Canis lupus familiaris: one gene and its partner. The protein of the gene in region 2 interacts with the protein of the main gene of each other region in a pairwise test. Links are inferred from orthologs where the notes say so. Each region holds a gene or a part of one and is shown on either strand. Other genes may lie near its edges.

Region 1 (4,274 bases), on a different chromosome or scaffold from region 2:
TTTCAGCGTTTTTAAAGGTTATTATGCTGTTCTCTGGCTTCTGGTGTTTCTGTTGAAAAGTCAGACATCAGTTTTATGACTGTTCCTTTGAATTTAATGTGTTCTCCAACTTGCTCACTGCCTCAAAATGTGGCTGTTTTTAAGATTCGGTTTTTAAGATAAGTTTAAGCATGATATGACTGAACATGGTTTCCTCTGTATCCAACTTTGGATCTGTTCAGATTCTCTTATGAGTTGGTATCTTTTTTTTTTTTTTAATCAAAAATGTTCAGCCATTACATCTTCAAATACACTTCTGCTTCATTCTTTCTCTTCTTACAGGTGTCTAATGATAAACACGCGTCCCTTGCATTCTGTTTTCTGTCCTCCTCCCTCACCCAGCTGGCTCTACTACCCAGTCTGAGCTTATTTATTTATTTATTAGAAAGATTTTTATTTATTTATTAATGTAGACACACAGAGAGAGGCAGAGACATTGGCAGAGGGAAAAGCAGGCTCCATGCAGGAAGCCCGATGTGGGACTCAATCCCGGATCCAGCATCACGCCCTGAGCCAAAAGCAGACATTCAACTGCTGAGCCACCCAGGCACCCCCAGTCTGAGCTCATTTAATCCTGTCTTCTGTTGTGCTCAACCTGCTGCTAAAATCACCCAATGAGTTAATTTCGGGTGTATTTTTTTAATTATCCAATATTCATTTGATTCTTTGTATAGATTCCAATTATGCTGAAATTCTCCACTTTTTCTCATTTTATTTAACATATTAATCAGAGTTAGTTTAAAATACCTACCATTCTAACCATACAGAAAAAATGGTAAATGACTTGTTTTATAAAATGCCAACAGAGTAAGTAGAATGTGTACCCTTTTACATTATAGACAGTTAAGTTTCTTATGAAAAATGACACTTCTTAGGACAAAGAAGAGGACATGCTGGATTGCAGCCCAGTTGTTTCTAGAAAAAAGTCCTTACCTTTGCTAAGGTTTTCTTGGAGTAAATGTCAGTGCGAAGACCAAAGTTCTGCAAATCAATTGGTTTCTCCTTGTTCTTCTCAGGAAAATTTAACATCTGCTGAGCAGCAGGGACCTAGGAGTTGGACAAATGATAGATGGCTGTATTAACCTCTACAAAGTAAGGGGGGATAGAAGGTTTTACAGTACTGTTTAATACTGACATGTAAGGAGATTTTATTAAAAAAATAAATATCCAAACCTTTGCCCTACACTTCCAACATTGCAACATACTATATAAGCAACATTTTTCTGCCTCTCTTAAATCCCAGAGAAAACAGTAAACAGATTTTCTTTAATATGCTCTACCATTTCATGTAAAGAACAATTCTTGCCCTAGACTCATGCTACTCTAACTTAAGGCTATATAAAATCTGGTTAACATACTAATCTTTTCAAGAATGTATGTGTGTGGATATCCACTTTCCAAAAGTTAGGAAAGGGAAGAAGTTTCACACATCAGTGTATAATCAGTGTAATAATAATGCCTGATACTAGTTTTTTAGTGTAATAATTACTAATACTAAAACTATAATATTAATGTAATAATTAAGTTACCTGAGGTGATCGAAGATGTAGAGGCACAAGCCCAGAGGGGGTATCAGCTAACACATTAAAATGAGGAGTAGGAGGAGGTCCCATTGCCATGGGTCGACTTTCTGGATCCACTTGGTAATTAACAAGCCCCCACTGCTCTAAAAAGGCATGAACCCTGGAAGAGTAAAGCTCATAAAGTTAAAATCTAGGGAATGTATCTCATTTCCTTCATAACCATTATCGCATTTCATTAAAAAATAAAAACAACAAAACAAGTAAATGTTCTCTGCAGGCTATGAACCATCATAAAGTTAATTAACAATTTTGGTTTGTTGTATGAGGGACAATTTCTGTAAATTCAAAATAATATTGACAGCAAAGCGGGATCCCTGGGTGGCGCAGCGGTTTGGCGCCTGCCTTTGGCCCAGGGCGCCATCCTGGAGACCCAGGATCGAATCCCACATCGGGCTCCCGGTGCATGGAGCCTGCTTCTCCCTCTGCCTATGTCTCTGCCTCTCTCTCTCTCTCTGTGACTATCATAAATAAATAAAAATTAAAAAAAAAAAAATATTGACAGCAAAGCACCCCAAAACCCAGTACAAAGCCTAATTATTTCAATCACAGAAATCAGAGAACAAATGTTCATTGAAGTCCATGGTGAAAGAACTCACACACAGACCAAATTCAAACAGAAGATTCACATGTGATTTGCTTCTTTAGATAGATCTACTGTACAGAGCTTATCCACTCTCCATCCCTGGTCGTTTTAGGATTTCATTATAAAACAAAAGATGTCAGTTATAAAAATCTTAAAATGAGGAGAAAATGCCACGGTATTAAATATACAACTAAATAAAAGATATTTGATTAAGGTATTTTATTAAGAAAGAAAAGATCTTGTTTCATCAAACATTAAACAGCAATGCATCAGTAACCACCTAAAGTGAAGTGTCTGAGAAAAACTCAGGCATCTTTACCTCATCACAGCACACACGTCTCCAGTCAAGTTCCTCCGACAAGCAGTGCTGGTTAAATACTCTTGTGGGTTTAGGCGATATGTGTCAATCATAAAATTTCGATATGCCAAGTATCTAAAAAGCAGAGGCAAAATTCATAAGGCAGACACACATCCTTTCAGAAATAACAACTCACAGAGCCCAAAATTATCATATTCCAACCAAATCCACCAAAAAGTCAATATTCCAACCAACAATAGTATTGACTATTTACAGTCATGAATGTAACTAAGGATAAAAACCCCTAATATGCAAAAGAAAACCCACTATTATTTAAAAACAATAAATAAAATGGAGTAAAATCTGATGAAGTTAAAGTAACACAGGGCGCCTGGCTGGCTTAGTTGATAGAGCATGTGACTCTTGATCTTGGGGAGGGGAGTTCAAGACCCACAATGGGTAGAGTTCGCTTAAAAATGATGATGATAATAGTAATGTGAACATAAATACAAAAGTGGTCACAGTGGTGAATGGATAAATCCTTAGTTCCCTGCTGAATTTGCAAATAACACCTGGTCACTTAGGCTGTCTCCCAACTACTGTGTATCCTACCATAATTCATTTAAATCTCACAATTTCTTCATAAAGTAGGGTTTACTACTATCATCTCATTTATCAACAAGCAAATTAAAGCACAGAGTGATTAAAAACTGTGTCCTAGACCACAAGGCTAGTAACTATGGAGCTAGAATTCAACATGGTGGAGGGAGATACTCTGGAATCTATGCTCTTAACACATGTTCCATCTCATCTCTATATTCTTCCTAGAGCTACATGTGGGTCAGGTCAGTGGCTATATACCCAGTTAGGCAAGGACTAGAACCCATGAGGGCAAAATCAAAGCTAAGACAAGAACAGATAAAAAAAAGAGAGAGAGAGAGAGAAACTGATTTTTTGAGTCACAGCAGATTTCACAACATCCCTAAGCATTTCTATGACAAAATATTTAAAACAAGTGAAAAGAAGCTAGAGAGCTAGCAAAAGTTCTCACCACAAAAGTAAAACAAAAATCTAGCAAGTTAAGGGTGACTACATCAGAGTAGAGAAGGTACCCTGCTCAAAAAAGCTCTCGTATATGGACAAGTGGATAAACAAAGATCTAAAGATAAATTTTTAGATTTACGGAAACTAAAATGCTAAATTGTGCTTTTAAACAAGAGACTGCCAAGAACTGGAACTATTTACAAATGGTAGCAATTGCCAAGTTAGCCAAAAGAATATACCATGTCTAACTAGATGAAAAAAAATTATCAGGGTTTCTTATACCAAATCTGTGATTGTGGTTTTAAATGAATCCTTACAGCTTTGTTATAGAAAGGTTGAATTATCTTTGACATCTAATCTTCAAATCTCAAACTATCATGGACAATCTTTTACAAGAAAATATTATTCAATTATTCCAATATGTGTTTTATGTGGACAGTTATCCTTCTCTACCAATTTAAATAAGAGACATCTATTTGTGAAGTCATGTGAGCATAGCAAACAATGAATTAATACTAAAAGGTAATATACAGAAAAGTATTTATAGTATGATATAGGTATGGATTTATTTTCGGGGACAGCGTTTCCAGAAATGTGTTTTTAGTGGTCACTAGGCAAAGGCAAAAATACTTCCTGACAAGATTCTTCCATCCAATACAAGATTCTGTATTTCCAATGCAAAAGCACAACAATGTTTTATGTACTTAGGACCGATTTACAGGCAGCT
Region 2 (4,765 bases):
AGCTGTAGGGAGCTGACAAGTTCGGCTCCTGCGCTGCACCCCGACTCCACAGGGCTGGGAGCAAGAGGTCCACGGGTCCCAAGGACCCCAGACACCCTCAGGCCCCTGACCCTCCTCCGAGGGTGTCTGAAGAGAGCGTCCAGACGATATCTATGTAGACAAGAAGACCAGACAAAATGAGAAGGATTTTCGAGGGAACTGTTTGGACGGCTGGTCCAGTACCCGAAGGTCGGGCAGTCGTTACTGGACTGAGGTCACTTTCAGTAGCAGGGGTGAGATGTGGCCAGGAGGGTGAAAGAGAGGCTGGGAGGGCGAACGTGAGAGGCGCCCCGGCTCATCTGAAGCCGTGCAGGGCGGCTGCGTGGCCTGGAGAAGTGGGGTGGGAGCCAGGGAGGAAGAAAGGATCACACCCTCTGGCCCCTGGCTTACCTCCTGCTCCAGGCAGAGCTCCGGGAGGGACAGAAGCAGCATCAGACATAACCGGGGCCTGCCAACCAGCCAGAGGAGGTGTTGTGACACCCCCCACCCCGCCCCGCAGCGGGCAGCCAGCATCCCGGCGCCAGCTTCTCAGAAAGCAGAAGTTGCCCATCACTTGCCCCCGCCCTGCCCAGCAGTGGCCGTCCCCTCACTTCCAGGGACAGAGTGGCCCTCCGGCTGGCAGCCCCACACTTACCTGCCCGCCCACTTCTCCATCGCTCCTCCCTGGATGCCCGGGGCAGGGGACAGAGGACCGGGAGTAAACACACTACTCCCGCATCTGGGCGCTGAGAGGGCACGCTCTGTGGGGACAGGAGCCATGTGGTCACTTCTCCAGGCGCCAGAAAGCCAGGGGGTTGGCACGGAGGGCTACTCAGAAGGGCATCTCTGAGAGAGGATGGAGGGGTGTGGGGGGAGTGGTCCACCCCCTCTGACCTTAAGGGTGAGAGCAGGAAGGAATGCTGCCCTTCCTGGGCCGCTGAGGCTGGAAGGTGGGGGGCTGACCTCAGCCTCCAGACCGTGGCTCAGTGGCTCAGTCCCCTCCTGTCAGCCTGCAGGAACTCCTCAGCTCCTCCCTCCTCCCCACTAGGGATTGTTTACAGGACAGCTTGGGCCACACAGCACACGCTCTTCCTGAAGATGATTCTGATCTGGTTTGCCCTCCTCCCTCCCAGAGGACCCCGATGGCCGAGGGAGGCATGGGTGACAACATGTGGGACACCCACTCCAAGGAGTGGACCAGAAGCCCCATGGGAGTTCCTTTCCCTACCTGCCACCCAGCTCTTTCTCCCATTTTTAACGAAGCTCCTTCTGGAACACTCAGGCATCTCTGCCGGACTCAAACACTTTGTAGCCAAGAGATAAACTAAGTGGGCTGATGATTTAATCTCTGGAGAAGCAGGTGATTTTCCCCATCCCTCTGCACTGGCAATGAGAGCTTATGTCAGGCCCAACGATGACAGGCTGGGGGTACCCAGGAAGGAAAGATGCAGCTAGAGCTGCCCTTGCTCCCCAGCCACAGGCCTATCATTCTGAGGAGTAAGGAAGTCCATCCTACCTTTCATCGTCAGCAAAGTAGAGCATGGAACCCACCCCTGGTCTCAAAGCTCTCCAGCCCCTTGCTGCTCACTCTGAGCCCTTCCCACCCTCACTCCTCAACCTGCTCTTGGTTCTGCTTTCCAGGAAAAAAAAAAAAAAATGTTTCTGTTGGATCTGAAAGGCACCCAGGAGAGGAATCCAAGGAGCTGATGCCGAGGTGGGCCAGCTCGGGGGCAGGAGAATGAGACGGAAGGGCAGGAATGTACTTGGCGGTAAGGACACTCTCAGCCCCAGTCTCCTCTCTGAGACCCCAAGACTTGGAAGTCTGTGGGAGGGTTTGCAGAGGTTGGGCCTGGGTGCACAGGGTCACCTCAGCGGCTTTAGGTTGAGAAGGGGTTGCTGATGGCTGCTCCACCCTGATGGGGGTATAGAGGCTCTGAGAAGAGCCAACGGTCCACCCAAACCTTTAGCTCTGGCCTGCCTCTGTTCCTGTGGTTGAAGAGGAGAGATGGGGGTGATGGTCACCATCTGTCCCTGTCTGCTGCTGGCTACCCTCTCCACTCCCTCTGGACAGTCTCTGCTTCTCTCTGCTACCCCGGCTCTGTATCTTGCTGTCTCTCTCTGCGGGTCTACCCAGTACACATAATCCCGTCCTGAGCTGGGTTTGGCTTTGGCAGTTCCCTGGAGAAGTGAGGGGTGGGGGGTGGGGGTGACGTGAACTCCTGGAGCCCTGGCCAGGCCTGGCTCCCTCTCTGGAAAAGTCCTACCCCACCCCCTGTACAGCTGGGCAGGGGGCCGACACCCCCTCCACTGCAGAGACAGACATACATTTGTGCTTCTCACCCCTTTTCATGTTCCTCATGTGGGGTGTCTCACTGCCCAGGGTGAGGAAGGGAGAGGTCAGAAGTGGTCACCCCGGCACCAGGCTAGACACTGGTCTGGACAAACCTGGGCTCCTCCTGGCCACAGCTCCACACTGGCCAGTGAGGATCAAGGAGAGACCCAGGCAGGGCTAACCCCTTCACCCCCAGAGGGACCCACTTCTGGGAAACGGGTTGCTGCTGCAGGGGAGGGGTGGGACAGCGTGTTCCAGGAGAGCCCCTCTCCTGGGTCAGAACTTCCTGGTCCTCACTGTGCCCTCCATTCCCTGGTCCGGAGGACCATCCAAACAGGTGTCTTTCCTTTTCTAGTCTTCGGGCTGAGCTGGATCAAGGGCAACCCCCGGCACCGGTCCCAGCGTCCCTGGCCCCAACCCCGAGACTTAAGGGGGTGGCAGAGGCACACATCCTCGAAGGAGCACCCTCCCGGAGGAGGAGGGCAGGAGGCGCCAGCGCGTGCGGGGAGGTCCTGGGTATGTTTTCCAACTTCACTCCCGCGACTTAGTAGGAATTTTGGCTGATTCTCCGACCGGGTGATGGGGCCAGAGTTCCGCAGGATCGGAATCCCCTCCCCAGGAATTCGACCCCCGGAACTGGAAGATCTCCGGAGACTACAGAGCTGGGGCCGGAGCAGCGGCTGGGGTGGCGACCGCGGGACGCGGGGGCGGCGCGGCGGGGGCTCTGACCGGGCGGGAGGGCGGGCGGCCGGGGTCTCGGGGAGGGGGGTCTGTACCTGCTCCGCGCGGCCCCGGCGGCCTTAACCCTTCTGTGCCCGAGCGCTGTCTGGAGGCAGCCTTGCTCCGCGACGGCCACTCCGGCCCCTGAGCCGCGCTCGGGACACCACGGCCTCCGGCCGCGGCTCCGCCCCCCGCCCGCCCCGCCCCGCCCCTGCCTGCTGGCGCCCGCCCGCCCCGCGCCCCTCCGCGGCCCCCAGCCCCCGCCGCGGGCCGCGACCACCCGGCGTGCGGGCCCCGCGGGTCCCTGGCGCGAGCGCTGGCCCGGCTGGGGCGGGGGCGGGGGCGGGGGCGCGGGGCGCGGGGCGGGGGGCGGGGGCCCGGCCTGCTCGCTGGCTCTGAGCGGAGGCTTCCCCCCGCCGCTCCGCGCAGCCTCGTGCGGGCGGATCAGCCCGGCCTGCCCCGGGTGGGGCTGTGGCCGCGCGGTGTGACGGCTCGGGGACCTCGACGAGCCTCGATTTCTCCATCCATAAAACGTTACACACGGGGACGCTGGCTCTGCGGTTGGGCGTCTGTCTGCCTCCGCCCAGGGCGTGACCCCAGGTCCCAGAATCCAGTCCCGCGTCGGGCTCCCTGCATGGAGCCCGCTTCTCCCTCTGCCTGTGTCTCTGCCTCTCTCTCTGTGTCTCTCTCTGTGTGTGTGTCTCTCTCATGAATATATAAATAAAATCTTTAAAAAAAAAATGTTACACACATAGGGCGTGTAGCAGAAGAAATGCGCTGACTTAGGAGTCAGAGGATCTGGATGTGCATCTTAGCTCCAGGAGGCGCCAGCTGTGTGACCCTGGGTGAAGACTTCAACCTTTCTGTGCTGCAGTTTCCTTGTCTGTAAAATGGAACTAATCTGACGTGTCTGATGGGCTGGGAGATAGGGCTGCCCACCCGGATCTGGAGGAATGCACCCCAGACTCAGGGTGGTCACACTGGGGAGCAAAAAAAAAAAAAAAAATAGGCTTTAGCTTTTTACCCTGTCCGCTTATGTATTGTTTGAGTTTTCACCCAGAAGCTCTATGTTTAGTTACGTTAATAAATAAATAATTTATACAACATGGCTGACATAGAGTAGATAATAAATGGTTACTACTATTTAAGATTTTTATTTGCCATCTACTCATGAACCATAGTGACAGATTGTTGGGTTGACTATTTTCTTTTTCTTTTTTTAAAGATTTATTTATTTATTTGAGAGACAGACAGACAGCAAGAGCAGGAGGGCCAGAGGGAGAGGAAGAGAGAAACTCAAGCAGAGTCCTTGCTGAATGCAGAGCTGGACTCCAGGCTCAAACTCACAATCCTGAGATCATGACCTGAGCCAAAACAAGAGTCCGAGGCTTAATTGACTGACTGAGCTACCCAAGTGCACAGTATTTTCAAGCTTTGTGGTCTTTTTTTTTTTTATTGACTTGTCAATATTTTAAAACCAGATAGTTAATAGCTTCTCTTGAAAAATAAAAACATAAAAATAGAAGCTCTAGGAGAGCCTGGGGAGCTCAGTCATTTGAGGGCCTGCCTTGGGCTGGGGTTGTGATCCTAGAGTCCCGGTGTGGAACCCCACATCAGGCTCCCTGATCAGCAGGAAGTCTGCCTCTCCCTCTCCCTCTGCTCCACCCCCGCCCATGCTCTCTCTCTCTCTTACTC

The links. The genes of interacting proteins can lie anywhere in the genome.
Region 1: the proteins of ADAMTSL4 (region 2) and SMARCC1 interact in binary tests that used the Homo sapiens proteins (3 or more experiments, as listed by UniProt). The two-hybrid records come from large-scale screens. The link is inferred for Canis lupus familiaris from reciprocal best matches to the Homo sapiens genes ADAMTSL4 and SMARCC1.

The regions. Positions count from the first base shown.
Region 1 is NC_049241.1:41,658,621-41,662,894, reverse strand, and holds part of SMARCC1 (SWI/SNF complex subunit SMARCC1), read right to left. Parts: intron 2,639-4,274; coding exon 2,525-2,638; intron 1,723-2,524; coding exon 1,569-1,722; intron 1,087-1,568; coding exon 973-1,086; intron 1-972. UniProt on the Homo sapiens protein: Involved in transcriptional activation and repression of select genes by chromatin remodeling (alteration of DNA-nucleosome topology).
Region 2 is NC_049238.1:60,392,491-60,397,255, reverse strand, and holds the start of ADAMTSL4 (ADAMTS-like protein 4), read right to left. Parts: upstream 3,258-4,765; 5' UTR 3,127-3,257; intron 2,867-3,126; exon of another isoform or gene 2,706-2,866; intron 1,788-2,705; exon of another isoform or gene 1,660-1,787; intron 1,379-1,659; exon of another isoform or gene 780-1,378; 5' UTR 694-779; coding exon 674-693; exon of another isoform or gene 488-673; coding exon 430-487; exon of another isoform or gene 151-429; coding exon 1-150. UniProt on the Homo sapiens protein: Positive regulation of apoptosis. May facilitate FBN1 microfibril biogenesis.